Linked DNA regions of Caenorhabditis elegans. The protein of the gene in region 1 interacts with the protein of each later gene in a pairwise test. Each region holds a gene or a part of one and is shown in the gene's direction. Other genes may lie near its edges. The genes, in order: hlh-27, sox-3, ceh-30 and K03B8.4.

Region 1 (3,442 bases):
AATTTCCTCACCAATTACATTCAATCACTTGACTTGACTTCGCTATTAATTTATTGCTCATAGTTTCAGATCTTACCTTCACATCTGCTACAAAATGGACCGCAGAAAGCTTCAAAAAGAGGCAAGAAGTGAAATGAAAAAGGTGAGTATTTCAATCTCGTTCTGAAATTCAACTCATCTTTTATATTCAGACCGCCAATGGCGTCGACCGTGCCACATATAACCGAGCAAAGGCTCTTTTGGAGATAATCCGGAAGGTTAGAAATATACATTTATTCGTCATCACATTACATTTCTAGAATGCCTAGGACCGTTTCAAGACATCTGTGAGAATTATGGAAACCCGCCTTCAGGAAGAGATTGCCACAAATGATCTGGCTTCCTCCACGATCTCCAAGGTGAGTCATGATAATTTTGACTCGGCAAGTTTCCAAAAATTGTCTTCCGTCGTTGTACGATGAAATTTATGGCTTAATATATTAAAGAATAAAAAATAAAAAATTGTAATTTGGGAGACAGATGTGAGTATATTTAAGGTCATAGCTACTGCCATAGGATTACTGTAGCCAATATTCCAGTAGCTGAACTATTCCACGGGCAATCTCCGTTGTTATCATGATACTGTATGATAATTGTAATAAAACTAAAAATCGTTTCTGAGATCATGAGCGAAGATCAAATGAATTTATTGGCGGGTTATTATAAGGCTACTGTCGTGATACTGTAGTGATACTGTTGCCGAAATTCATATCATTGGAGCAAACAGGGAACACAATTTATATTATAAATCGTCCTATCAACTTTCAAACTTATGTCGTTTCAGTCACGCCATGCCATTTTTGCGTCCATAATCGAAGAGCTCAAATCAATTTCCTCTCACTTTTGCATTCCAGCTCTTCCAATATGATTGTTCTCCATATTTATTCTGTTGACCACTGTCAATTCAAAATAGATATCTTCTTATATAAAAATTATGTTCGAAGAAACTGTTGCAAATCAATCTTGTTTAGAATTACTGGCAAAATAATTTCAGTTGTTTTCTCCTATTTTATTTCTTTTCGAGATATTTCTGTTTAAAATGTTGTTCATCCGGTACAGTTGATACTACTATAAACTTATAGAATAAATTAACACAGTGCCAATATCCTAATTCACAGTCTCAGCCGGAATTTCCCAGGCAGTACCCAATCGATATCCAGTCGTCTAGTTTCGCATGGTCCCAAGACAAAACTGGAGATGTCCAGCCTCGTTCTCATGAGAACCTCACTGATGAACCATGGGAACCCATGATGGGGACTGTAAAAATAGAGATTTCAGAATAATTCCCATGGCTCCAAACGCTTGATACAAAGCTCCACCCTCTGAACAATAATGGAACTATAAAAGGTAACCATTTATTCATTGTTCATTTACTTTCTTGGTGGATCACTGGTCTGCTGGTTTAGTATACTTTTTGATAATTGTAACATCAGGAAAGTGTACTGATTTTGATCAATTACTTTTAAAGCATTCAGTGAACTGTATACTTCTAGAAAAACAGCACGAGTTATCTCACTAAACTAAATCAATTTGTGCTGCTTTCTTGGTCTCATTTTTCTGTTTTGTCACAATTATTCCTTTTATTTAACGGCTCATCTTGAAATTTTATAAATTCTAGATTTCTTCTTGATTTTAAAAAGATTAAAACTTATCAAATTTCAGATGCCAAAAGTTATCCCATCTTCAATGAGCGATTATCGTTCCGTCCCATACAATCAAACTCCAAAATCAGGATCTGAACGGAAAAGAAGAAATATTACAAACGAGTTGATTAACGAATGCAAGACGATTGTTCAAAAATCAGAAGAAGAACATATATCGTAAGTTTAAATACTCTGTTAGCTTAAAATAGTTATTAAACTAATTCATTTTTTAGACAAGAAGTAGTTCTCTTCCGAATTGTGAAACTTGTGACTGGAGTTAATCTGGAATCTAATTTCTCATCGAATGACCTCTCCGAATCTACAAGACGGAAGTTTGATACTGAATCCGAAAGAAGAAAAGTGAAGACTGAACGTGAAAAGATTCGAAGAAAGAAACAAGATGACTGTTATGCTGAATTGAAATTCTTCATTTTGAACAAACAAATGGGAAGTTACGAGCAACGGTAAGAGTTTCATTATGGCTAATAAAAATTCAAAAAATTATTTTCAGATTAAAACTTGAACGGATCACAATTCTAGAAATCATCATTGATTACATTAAACACAATTCCGATCTTCTGTATCCAGAAACAATTCCCCAAATACTTCCTCTTTTAGCTGGAAAATCAACTGCTACTTGTGAGAACAAAGAGAATGAAAAGCCAAAAACACGAATGGAAGTGAAGGATCTCTTCCCAAGATTGACGTTTCAAGAAGTTCAAGAATCCCCAACATCTACTTCTCCATTGCTCACATTTCCATGTATTCCAATGATCCCAACTACTCAGTTCAATGTCTTGTCAAACTACAACACCGTTCCATCAATATTTTCTGCTCCCCTCCGATTCATTCTTCCATCACTTCAAATCTTAACACCAGAAACTAGTGACGAGGAAGAAAATGAAGAAACCGTCGATATTAGTAACTAGTCTATCAAGTTCTTCCAGATCTTACAATTAGTTTCTGAGCAATTTTTCGAAAATCTTCATTGTCTATATTGCGTTTTTGATTCATTTTTTTATCTTTCTATGGCCAATATTCCCGAACTTTTTCATCCCATCGCGTCGCAATCTATTTTTGAAGATTTTTTACTACTCACGTGATAGTCTTGTCTAAATTATTCTGTTTGAAAATGAATGTTTATTCGGTAAAATTTGTTAGCCAGAATACAAGCAAGACAAGTATGTATAATCAAAGTTCCATTAGTCCACACCAAATTCCATCTCCCAGTCATACGGAAACTCTTCAATGTCCTTGTCTAGCATCACTTTTTGCAGTGTTGTATAGATCATCTCATAATCGGGCTCCTTGAAGAACGAAAGACTGTCGATATAGCTGGAAATGGAAAATTACGAATAAATCAGCTTTGGTAGAGACTCACTTCATAATCAAGCGAAATTCATCTGGGCAGCCAGCAAGGAATTGGCCCATGATCGGTTGGAAGCGGGAATTCTTCTTCATCGCACCAATCTCGCCAATCTCATTTACATTTTTCCAGGGAAGAGCTGCATTGGTGAAATCGACGAGCATGTAGAACCTAGAAAAACACATTTTCTCAAATAAAAACTATTATTCTTATTTTCAATTCTAAGTGATAACCCAATCTGGCCTTCTGGCATCTTTACAGAATATATCACATAAATGACTAGTTCTTAAATTGATTAAACTAGCCAGCTTTCCAAATCGTCCTTCAGTCCATGTTCCGCCGTATTATGTGATGCAAGCGGTGCATATCGAGGGCTTCCACGAAATGGCACAGT
Region 2 (4,419 bases), on another chromosome or scaffold:
TAATAGTTTTTGTCATGTGAAGTGTATTGTTTTTTGTGTGAGTAGCTAATGTTTACAGGAGAGGGGTACTGTAGAATTTCAAGGTACAGGGTGAGGTACGGAGGTAATGAGTACAGAGAAAATGTAGTCTAGAACGTGAAACATTACACATTTTCCAGTTAGAGGTACAATAAGGGACTCAGTTCTCATATACATATGCCTCATAACTCATATACATATGCTTGAAAATTAAAAATAGGATAACAGTATTTAAGCATGAGCATATGCCTTATAATGCTATAATTTCCAAATATCACTGTAAAACGTTTTATATATACACAGTCAAAAAGCTTTTACCTATCATAATTTTGAAGTCGACCAAAAAACTTTTTCACTAGGAGTAGTATATTTTAATTTTTTTCCAATTGTTTTTAATAGTAGTTCAAACAAGCGGCAATACTCTAAGTACCTTGAAGCCCAAATTTTTCATATATTAAACAATTTACCAAAATTTGATTGCAAAGTTTGTTAAATCTAAAGTTTTCAATTTTTTCCTATAACATTCAATCACGTTGGATTATCTTAAGTTTATCCATACTAAAGATACTCTACATATTTATTAAAATTTCAAATTGATTTTGAAAGTTTTGATACATCATTTAGGTATTTAAAAAATCTAGTTTTATAGATTTTATATATAAGTTTCTGAATACGTTCAGGTAACAATTTAAAAATTTGTTGAGCTCAAAAACATAATTGTGCTGGAAACCATAAAAATTTTGAAATGGATTTAAATTAAGGATTTAACACGTTTGCAATTTTTTGAAATTTCTTGCCTTGCGTCCCGTCCAACTCTGTTCGGAGAGGGGTCGGAAGTGAACAATCAACATTCTAAACAGAACACGAATTTACACATTTTCAACATTAAATATTGTGCCCCATCGTCCATCGTCAACCGTCACTTTTCACCTAACTTTCCTCTGTAAAAAGTTCGATCTAAAACATTGTATCATCCAAAGTATCAGCACGATGTGTTTGTTAGCACAGTGTCATATGATGTCGAATAAGAATTCATGGAAAAAAAAAACGTGTTTGGTTTTTCTTGTATTCGTTTTTGAAAATGCTCAAACTAGGTATTCAGTGTTCCGTTATTATTAGAAAAGTCGTTTTGCTTCACTGAACTAAACTAACTAGGAACTCTTGAATAACTTTTGAAATATTGAGAATTTGCAAAATTAGTTCACAGTTCATGCTTGACTTCATTCACCTTCCTACGAGTTCTTGCAATCATTATATCAGCGTAAGTTGCTATTTCAGTAGGGTCACATAGGAGCCATCTTGAGTATCAATTTCGATTACCGTATTTCCTCGCAACTCATTTTGGCTCCGCCTACTGTCTCTCGTCTATTTGTGCGCCGCCTCTTGTTGGCCACTGAGACGAGGGAGGACACGCATAATATAGCACGCGTCTGTCTCTCTTTCTTTTTTTTTTCGGAAATTTACCATTTCCTCATTCAGGTTTTCTTTTCTCTCTTACGTTTATTTTATGAGTAGGGTTTCCAGTTCTCGGTTTCTAGTTTCTTGTTTTCAAATTATTTCCAAAGTTTTCCCGAAATTATTTGTATTTGGTATTAATTTTTTCAAAAGTTTTGTTAGCATACATTGTCTTTCAGCGGTATGACTGACCTCTCTTGTCTGTATCCTTCACTTTTATGCACTGAAGCTGCAAAAACATCTTATGACGAAGACACAACGTCTGTTTCATCTGGTTTAAGCCCTCCGGGCTCTCCAGTCGATCTACAAAACTCGCTGGATCATGTGAAACGGCCGATGAATGCATTTATGGTTTGGAGCAGAGGACAGAGAAGGAAAATGGCACAGGTGCATTTTAAATATTTAAATTTTTTAGGTTATTATGTAAGTAAGTAATTTATTCAGGATAATCCAAAAATGCACAATTCCGAAATAAGTAAACGGTTGGGTGCAGAATGGAAACAGCTATCAGAGCAGGAAAAACGACCATTTATTGATGAAGCAAAACGGCTCAGAGCTTTACATATGAAGGTAGTTTAATTACATTTTTCAATAGTTATATTATTAATTTCTATACTCAGGAGCACCCAGACTACAAATACCGTCCACGAAGAAAGCCAAAATCCTCCAATCTGAAGCAACAACCTCGTTTGAACATCGCCATGCCAACCATCCCGCCACAATCACTTTTCAACTATTCCACAGCATTCGACTCATTGAAAACCCATGACCTCTCCCAATACTACTCATCATTCTTCCAATCGCCCGTATTATCCGGCTCAACCTATGCTCCATACAATATGATGGCTGCTTATGCGAGACAAGCTGCAGCCGTGGCTGCTGCAAGTCAAGTGTCGGCTTCAACAACGCCAACAGCTCCTGCCACGTAACTTGCTGAATTGTCATGTACGTTACACTTTTTTTTGAATTGTTTAATAAGGTATAGGTATTTTGAATTAACAGAAAAGAGAAATGTTGATCTTTGAAGAGCCACATAAGAGTAAAAAATGTATCATAACAATATATTAGTCATTTCTGTATTTCTAAAATTTCTAGAAAAAGTCTTATATATGTGTTATTGACATTCAAAACTTTGAAACAAATTAATCGGTGTAGCTGAAATCCCAAACTACCGCAATCCCATATTACAGTAGTTGATTCCATTTTTGTTTTATTTTTAAAAAAAGTTACAGTCGATAAATACACAAATGTGTTGCTTATTTTTGTGAGCTTATCGACAAAAAATAAGTCAGCGGCTGTAATGAACAAGCTACCCAAATTTGAAAATATTTTATTTGAGGCTTTCCATATCAAAACTTGAATACGCAATAATAATTTTTGAAAAGTTTTAACATTAAAATTTAGTAGTTTAGGCTCACAATATTTGAGAAATTTTGAAATTTTTACTTTTAAAGATTAAGTTAATTTTAACGGTAGGCAAAGCTTTTGGGAAGAATATATCTTACGGTTTTTGTTGGCTTGATGTTCCGTTGAACTTCTAGTTGACGTTTTGCTCTTAATTCTTATCTAGTCTTGTTTCAAACTATACAAATCGCCCAACAATTTACTACACTTCAATTTTCAAATATCAACTTTCCCACAAGTCATTCATTCCTTTTCTTCCGCTATAAAGACATTAGGTGGTCGGTCACTTGTTTCCGACCGAAATCGGTTCATAACCATAAGAAACGCGTCCAAGTGTAAAACCCTCCTTTCCCCCTTCTCTTTTTGAATTAACACCACCACTAAATTCGACTCCCGCCAATTTGTGTATTGTGCACCTCGCGCACTTCCGGTTACACACGGTTACATTGTTCCATGCCAAATTCTTATTATTTTCACTTGAAGTGTATCGGTTTGATTTTTTCCAACACACAAAAAATGAATGAATGAAAAGGTGTGAGTGTATCATGCGCGAATAAGTCGAATAAGTCGCGCGCTTTGTGTTGAAATGTACTGTTTACTGAATGATTGACATATGTGTGCAGTTTAGATTTGAAGATGAGCAATGATTCCATTTTCTTATCGCTTTCGGAGAAAAGACAATAAAAATGACTCAGAATAATGATGAATAGTCTATATGTGTTTGGGAATTGTGTTTTACTTTGTATTTTAAACTACCATCTGATTTTCAGGTTTGCTCAATACCATGCTTCACCTTCAATGAGCAGAATCTCCCTACAAATGCCATACAGACAAATTGATTCTAATTTTTCGATAATTTTGATTCGAATGTGCTATGTGCAACCTACCTGTACTTTTCTATTTTGCTGTATCTTCCATAAATGAAATATAAAATTTTGTGAAGAAATAACTACAAACTTTGGGTTTTATCAATTTTATCTATTTGTCAGCTGCACTCAAAAGCTCATCACCAGGATACGGTATTTTTTTTAACGGTTGTTCAAAGTGTGCCTGCCGCAAAAGTGTACAAGAATAAATAGGCGCCCAATGTAATGTTAGTATTCAATTTTTGCGACTTCTATTGTACAACAAATTCAATACAATAGATTGAATTGTTCAAGAACAAACTTCCAATTCATTGTTGGTTGAAACGAATGAATAGAATCAAGGAAGGAAAGAAGGTATTCAACAACTTTTACTCCTCTCTCCTTTATTTTCACCCCCACTGTCCCTTGCCATTGATATTTACCATTTGCTGTCCCCTGTCACCTCCTCTGTCATTGACGACCGATACCCCCATGGAGTTACATTTTTTTTTTCGTTGAGGTTGCCTGAACAAAGAGAACAATGTCCGCACTTAAAACGCCTAATCAAATCGGTTCACACGCTGAGAAAAAAGTTGAGGGAAGTCTAAACCATTTCATGGTCATTTGTTAGATGGAAATTTATAGAAACAGGTCATGTTGCGAGAATTTTTCGACCTTAAGTTAATACTCAATTTAT
Region 3 (4,487 bases), on another chromosome or scaffold:
TATCAAAGCAGCGTTTTATCTTTCCAACTATCTATATAACTCTTCAAATTTATCCATAACCTGACACTTCCGGCAGTTCCATCAATTGTATTCGTTAACCTGCCGCTGATCGGTGCAAGCTATAAGTCAACATGTCACATAAAAAGGTGCCTAAAAAGGACACAATTGCCGGGTGGCTTTGATAAACACCGCTTCACACACTTGAAGGAGTCGTTTACCTGGTCTCAATTGCCATTGTCAAAAAAAAAGAAGCGTCTCTATTGCGCAACAGAACACAATAGAGCAGCCACGTGTGTGCTGGTCCCACCGGTCTGCGACACCTTTCCGGGAGTGTCCTTTAATCTAATTATTTATGTTGGCAATTGTAATGAGCTGTATGGAAAGGATACGATATTATGTAATAGAACCTGCTTACCCGGGAGATTTCAAAGGCGGCTTCTGTCTCCTAAACAAGCTCATATTCATATTGCCAGCTTTTTTCTTGTTACTGGGTGTCAAGATGTATGTTCACAATTAAGAGTGGGGGAAATGGCAAATGACAATTATCTCTAATGCATTTTCATTTCCACTTCCAATTTTCCTTTTTTTTTCAACTTCCCATTTTTCAATTTGTAACTGTATCGTTTTCCAGTCAATCTTCCTGCGCGCCCAATATTTTACGCTACGTTGAGTTGAAAGTGTCTCCGCTTTTTGCACCTCTTCTAAATATACAAGGACGGAACGATCATCTTGTTTCTCAACATTACCAAGGTAGCAAATATATAAGTAGAAGAAAGAGCTAATGAGAATGATTTATGTGAACTATCAAATAAAACAACTGCTGGCGGAATGAGGAACGCAATGACTTTGAAACATGTCTATGTACATAGCTGGGCGGTCGAAAATTAGCTGAATGTCCTTCCATGCCAATCGGCTTGGAATCGCGAAACAAAAAACCATTTTATTTGTTTTGTAATTGACGGTTAGTATGCAAAATTAATCGACACTTCAGAGTAGATTTCTCTTCGAAATATAGGAATCGGTGGATGTTAATTACATGGGTTTTGTCACTCCGAATATGGGATTTTAACGCTTTTTGCAGTTTCAAATTATTTTTGTGTCTGGTTAAGATGTGAAAATGCATTGTTTCAAGGACAGAGCGAAGATTGTTCATAATATCGGCAAGTGGCCTTATTCTGAAACTCTATTGCAACATTACGTGTTTTGGGGGAAAATGAAACTATAAACAGAACTAATTTGAGAAAAGCGACAAAAATATGTATTCATTCAGAAAAAAAGGAAACAGAGTGTTTACAACAATGATTGAAATTATTTGAAATTAAATAAAAAACAATCACCGTATTTCTACAGGTTACTGAAATCGTGATTCGTAACAAAAATTTACCGTAACTTCTATAACTTTTTTTTGCCGAAAAATACGTTGAGTAACCTTTTGTCGATTTTGTGAAAAACAAACCGACTAAGCTTATATATGGAGATTAGTAAGATGGTCTTTCTGCAAGTAAGTGAAAAACTGTGAAAATGAAACTTTAACATTTCGAGCACCAACCTGAAAATTAGAGTTCGATATCCAGCTTTGGCAGAATAATATTCCATATTGTTTATTTCCAAGTTTGACAATTCATCAAATGTTTCCCTAGAACCACCGTTTGACAGGTTGCTCCAATTAGCCGCAGTGTGCAGCTATTCCCAACCATCTTCCCCCATCTCATTTTCGCCATCATTTTCCCCCGCATCATCTGAGATGTGCAAAATGAAAGGTCAAGTTATAGATTTCGTGTTATTAAATACAAATAATTGACTTCTCATGTGGCGTTGGATCTCGAAAATCGAGTGTAATTGTCATGACCATGTTTAGGAGGGCGGTGGTGGTAGCTGCTGCTGCATCATCCTTCCCAATGTCAACGCACCCTCTTCTCTCACCCAAATTGCCAGGCCGTCGCCCCGCCCACTCTCGCACATTTAACTTGTCTTATAGTCACCCCTCATCGTCCGACAATAACCAATCATCGGTGCCTTCAACAGTGTCGCATTCCCGACTTTCGAACGTGCAAAGCATTCGTTTAACACTTTTCTACAGTACCACTCACTTCCCAAAATGTCACTTCTCGACCCTCGGCAGTTTCTGCTTCCCGCTTTTTATCTGGATCCGACTACACAAGCACTTCTAGCTCAAGCAGCTTCAACTTCCCCGTGCAACAAAATTTCGTCTTCTTCTTCATTCCGCATTTCTGACATTCTCGAGCAATCCCCAAACAATTCATCCCATTCAAACGATCACGGTAAGTCATTACACCTGCAATTGATTCCAAAATTCCAAACATTCAAAACGACAGCCATTAAAAGTTTTGTGCGCGGCGCGTTACCCATCAAAAATTTACTCAACCATGCTCTCGATTTTCTCCTCTCAATGGTGACTACCCGGAAATGATAGTTTGAATGTAGGGGGGGGGGGGGGTAAAAGGATTAATGCCTTAATGAACATATGAATACAGTTCTCTTCCGGGGTCAATCTTTTGTTTTGTTCTTTTTGTGCATCAATAACCATCAACTTTCAGACCCATCGCCACAATCAATTAAATCTGATTTTTCAACTTCGCCAAGAGCAAGCAGCCCCGGCGGCGATCGAATGGGTAGTCCAGGCAGTTGCAAAAAATCTCGGAAGGCAAGAACCATCTTCACTGACAAGCAGTTGCAAGAGTTGGAGAATACATTTGAAAAGCAAAAGTATCTATCAGTCCAGGACAGGATGGATTTGGCGCACAGAATGGGTCTCACTGATACTCAAGTCAAGACGTGGTACCAAAATAGAAGGTTAGTAATAACGTCTTTCAATTATCGTTGGAATTATCGTTGGAATTATCGTTGGTAGCAGAGTCAATTCTTAACATACATATGTACATTCTCAAATTAATAACAAGCGTAGCCGCCAATTGAGCCCACCCTTGTAGATTACTACACCAACCACGCTCACATTTCCTAATTATTGTTCAAGGCGGCGGTGTTCTATGTGAATATTTGATGTGATGACTTGTCATCAGAGCATCATCATCGTCGTCATCATCAAATTTTCACCAGCTTTTAGTATCGGTTTCATTGGTGAATGAAGTGGATAGACGAATTTGTGCCTCTTTTGAAATGTATCCATGCATTCACAATCTGGAAAACCTTTCAAAACGTCGCTATTGTTGTGTAGTTATCGCCGGGGTGGTCTCCTGCTCTTTTGCACAATAATGAGGCGTATGAGTCCGCTAAGAGGCAGATCACCTGCTTTTGGTCCCAAGGTTCGGCAGCGTTGAATTAATCCGAATATAGTCAAGTGGTGGTTAATACATATAATATATCTAGTTGCGACATAAAAACATCATTATTACAATAACGGGACACTCAAAAATTAAGATGTGAAAAGTGAAGACGTCCGGTCTAGTGGAACAAAATACGGCAATTCAAATTACTCAAATTACTTAATGTTTTTTATAGAACAAAATGGAAGCGACAGGCAACAAGTGGAATGGATCTTCTATCGGAACCTGGAAACCTCTCCGCAGTTCAGAACTTGATCAGAAGCAGTCCATATTGGGCCAACTATATCACAGCCTTACCTATGGGCACTCAGCTACCGATGATGGGCCTACCCATGTCTATGATTGTTCCCCCAGCCCATGCTTTCCAGCCTTCCTCCTCTTCAAATTCTCCATCCACTCACATATCCAGTGAATCCCCTCAGTTGGATGTTTCCAGCAACTCAGAATAGTATTTCTTGTGTTAATTTTTAAAATTTGTATGTAATATTTTCAATTAAAGTCACAAAAACCGATCTCAATGGGTTAGATAGGGAGAAGACGCTTTCTTTTTTTCACAACATTGCATATGTATCGCTTGTGTTATTTTTATTTTGCTTGATTATGTCATTTCCACGTCATTAATAATAATATTATTATTTTATTATGCTGTTCGTGGATGATGACGATTTCCGAAATCTGATAAGAAAACTGGAGATGGTGGGGCATTCAAAAATACAATGAACACAAGACGTGCCAGAAGCGCCAGGTGTTGGCGAGTGGCGCAACCGTTCTGATTTTATCGCGACGGAAGAGGTAAATATGTGAGATAGAATACTTGGCAGGCGTCGTTAACACCTCACCTGTTCGACAAATACCTTTACCTGACAGACGGTTCCTAGCTCACTTTTTCAAAAAATGTGGAGAAATTAGTAAAACTTATTTCTATGGTGTTCAAATGTCCAAAGATCATGATAAAACCTTTCAAATAGAAATTGGAAATTTTGGTACTTTTGTGTGAATCGAACTCAGTTTTCACCAGTAACAATAAACATTTCTCGCAATAAAAATTTTCCAAAATTTTTTTTCAAAAATGATATGTAGTAATTTAGCAAAATTTTGACATTCATAGTAAAGGCACAAATTGTTTTTCTGAGTGGGTCTCGCCACGATCTCAGTTAAAATGCTTGCTACAGGCGCGAATAT
Region 4 (2,567 bases), on another chromosome or scaffold:
CCGGTAACTTCTGGTCTAACTTTTGACCTCAACAAATATAAAGTGATACGTTTTCCTTGAATCACTTGAAATGAATGATTGATTTAGTTGGAAATAGTTTGCAGTTTCTAGAAAATGCCCACCACTACCAGAAAATAATCCACTTTTTTCACACTGTTAAGGCAACACATAAACATTAAGTTGGTCGTGAACGCCGAGAAACGGAAATATACATATGTATGTCGAAATGAAAGAAAAACTCACGTCTATGCACGTATCGTTAAATGTTAGATGTTGTACTATGTTATTCATCCCAATGTATGATGAACAGCCTTTACCGTTAACAAGTTGGACCCTGTTAGGAATTGAACAGTTTTCTTCAAAAGTCACGCAAGTTTGTGAAGATATGAAGTTCATGGAGAAAAGCATCAATTCTCGCTTTTCAGTACCTCAAAGTACATGTTTATAAGTTGTATTTCACTACTTCAAAATATAATAGAACTTACTGAATGAAGAATCAAAGCAATATAATAATTTTGCACTACTCGGTAGTTGGCTCCTCCTGGGGCGCGAAGGGGGTGCGACTGGCGCGCGAAAAGAGGTGAAATGCGCCTGGCGCGAGGATAGGGCGTGACTGGAGTGCGGAACAGGCGCGCTCGGATTGTGAAAAGAGTATTCTGAAACTGCCAAAGTGTCTACATAAGATGTATTAATCAATTTCTTGCGAACATATTATTGCTTTGAGACATATTTTCACACAAAAGTGAATTGTGTTTGTTCTATACGTTAATTGTAAACGTTTTGCAGCCATGCTAGTTACTGAAAAACCAAAACTTCAATTTAAATTCTGATATGAGGTTAGAAGAGAACAATATGGTTCATCTTACAAGGAAATTGTATTAAAATCTATCAATAATCGTACTGTTATCTAATGATGTTACGTTATAAAATATGTTCATTTTACCTATGCAGATAAAGTTAAGGCGATGTCTTGAGAATGTCTCCATTAGGAAACTCGCAGCATTGGCATTGTGGAGGCACGATGCACACATTCCTAAGAAAGTTGCCCCTAAATGCCAGGTATATTTTCCAATAGAAAGATATAAAAGATATGTGTAGTTTGTGTGAACATCTTCAAACTAATTTTCTAGATCACATGTCTCGTTGTTGTATTTTATACGTTTAGTATTGTGGCACCATATTACTGAAAGCTGAAAGAGACTAGATTGGCAATTATTATATATCAACTACATCATTCATACATATATAACATATAAGTGAAGAGATATATATATATATATATATATATATATATATATATATATATATATATATATATATATATATATATCAACCTGTTTTGGCAATGAGGCTGTCTGAAAGTAACAGGTTCGCGAAGAGAAACTGTTTTTGCACGCCGTCCGCGTTCTGACCGCGCCCCATCCGCGCCCATTCCGCACTCCTTCCGCACCCCTTCCGCGCCCCGTTCGCGCAACACGAACGACAATCCGTCCAAAATTGGCTTATGTTCGAGAAACACCACTTCTCGATGAGCAGCCTGCGGCTCCTGCTATTCCAGAGTGAATAGAATGAGATTAATGAAAGTGATTTATGGAATGATATAACTCTTGATCAAAAGTGTTATGATATTATCGAACAGATCAACGAACTGAAGGCTCGCCGCGATTTCTACGCAAGATTCTACACCGAGCCCGCAGAATTCATCAAAAGCTGGGTGATGAGCCAGAATTCGGACCTGAAGACTATGAACGAGCTGAGCGGGGATCTTGAAGCCGAAAGATTCGCTGAATCCTACGTGAGACCTGAAACAGAGGAAGGAGTTCAAAGGTATTAATGTTTTTCGGGGGTTCTAGAAATTAAAAAGTTTTTTTTCAGATACATGTTCCAAAAGGTGAACCAGAAGCGACATGAATTGGAGCAAATCTTGGTGTTCGATCAAATTAAGGCTCCATTGCCAAAAAAGAAGAAGTATGTGGACTCAAAACAGGTAAAGAAAAAACGAATTATTGCTAAAGAAAACCAGCTAGTAAAACAATGTAAAATATTAAACGAATAACAAAATGACATATAGGAAACCATGAAATGATAACTTTGAATTAAATTAAGTAACAAAAAATTGATGAGACTATTTTTGAGCTTTGAAGATGCGAAGCTACATATTTGCAAATACGTAGCTTTTGATCAAAACATTTTTGAAGCAATAGGTTGCTCTAGTTGCCGTTTCACGGGCATAATTGTGTAAGTCTATTTTTAAAGATATTTCATTGATTTTTTCAATATACTGACTTAATTAAATAGATTAATTTGAGCTTTTCAGAGAGGATGATGATCAGCAACACCAGTCTCCCGCCGTCTAGGGATCAATTGGCCTGCAGCCAAGCTGTCTTCAATCTGTTAATTTATTTTTTAATTGTTTTTCCATTGTTCGTTGTTGTAATAAATGCAATTCTTATTAATCTAAGATTTCAATTTCAATATGAAAATCGGCGGGAGCGAGAATAAAATCGAACCGGGCGCGTAGTGTGTGCGAAAGAAATGCGCTCGGCGCGCGAAAATTGTGCGACTAG

What was found.
Region 2: the proteins of hlh-27 (region 1) and sox-3 interact in a two-hybrid assay, tested with the Caenorhabditis elegans proteins (one large-scale study listed by BioGRID).
Region 3: the proteins of hlh-27 (region 1) and ceh-30 interact in a two-hybrid assay, tested with the Caenorhabditis elegans proteins (one large-scale study listed by BioGRID).
Region 4: the proteins of hlh-27 (region 1) and K03B8.4 interact in a two-hybrid assay, tested with the Caenorhabditis elegans proteins (one large-scale study listed by BioGRID).

Annotation. Positions count from the first base shown.
Region 1 is NC_003280.10:5,538,469-5,541,910, reverse strand, and holds hlh-27 (BHLH domain-containing protein), read left to right. Parts: upstream 1-1,697; 5' UTR 1,698-1,701; coding exon 1,702-1,859; intron 1,860-1,915; coding exon 1,916-2,146; intron 2,147-2,193; coding exon 2,194-2,611; 3' UTR 2,612-2,836; downstream 2,837-3,442. Other genes in the region: C17C3.24 (uncharacterized protein), read left to right, coding at 336-398, 824-907.
Region 2 is NC_003284.9:14,690,233-14,694,651, reverse strand, and holds sox-3 (Transcription factor sox-3), read left to right. Parts: upstream 1-1,652; 5' UTR 1,653-1,656; coding exon 1,657-1,860; intron 1,861-1,917; coding exon 1,918-2,043; intron 2,044-2,093; coding exon 2,094-2,402; 3' UTR 2,403-2,418; intron 2,419-3,647; 3' UTR 3,648-3,822; downstream 3,823-4,419. UniProt on the Caenorhabditis elegans protein: Probable transcription factor. Involved in the terminal differentiation of some neuronal cell types. Dispensable for neuronal fate commitment during embryogenesis.
Region 3 is NC_003284.9:3,061,608-3,066,094, forward strand, and holds ceh-30 (Homeobox protein ceh-30), read left to right. Parts: upstream 1-1,966; 5' UTR 1,967-2,098; coding exon 2,099-2,282; intron 2,283-2,558; coding exon 2,559-2,814; exon of another isoform or gene 2,815-3,019; intron 3,020-3,127; exon of another isoform or gene 3,128-3,277; intron 3,278-3,280; exon of another isoform or gene 3,281-3,426; intron 3,427-3,480; coding exon 3,481-3,754; 3' UTR 3,755-3,944; downstream 3,945-4,487.
Region 4 is NC_003283.11:11,394,275-11,396,841, reverse strand, and holds K03B8.4 (uncharacterized protein), read left to right. Parts: upstream 1-1,717; coding exon 1,718-1,827; intron 1,828-1,875; coding exon 1,876-2,056; downstream 2,057-2,567. Other genes in the region: Zinc metalloproteinase nas-18, read right to left, coding at 244-408.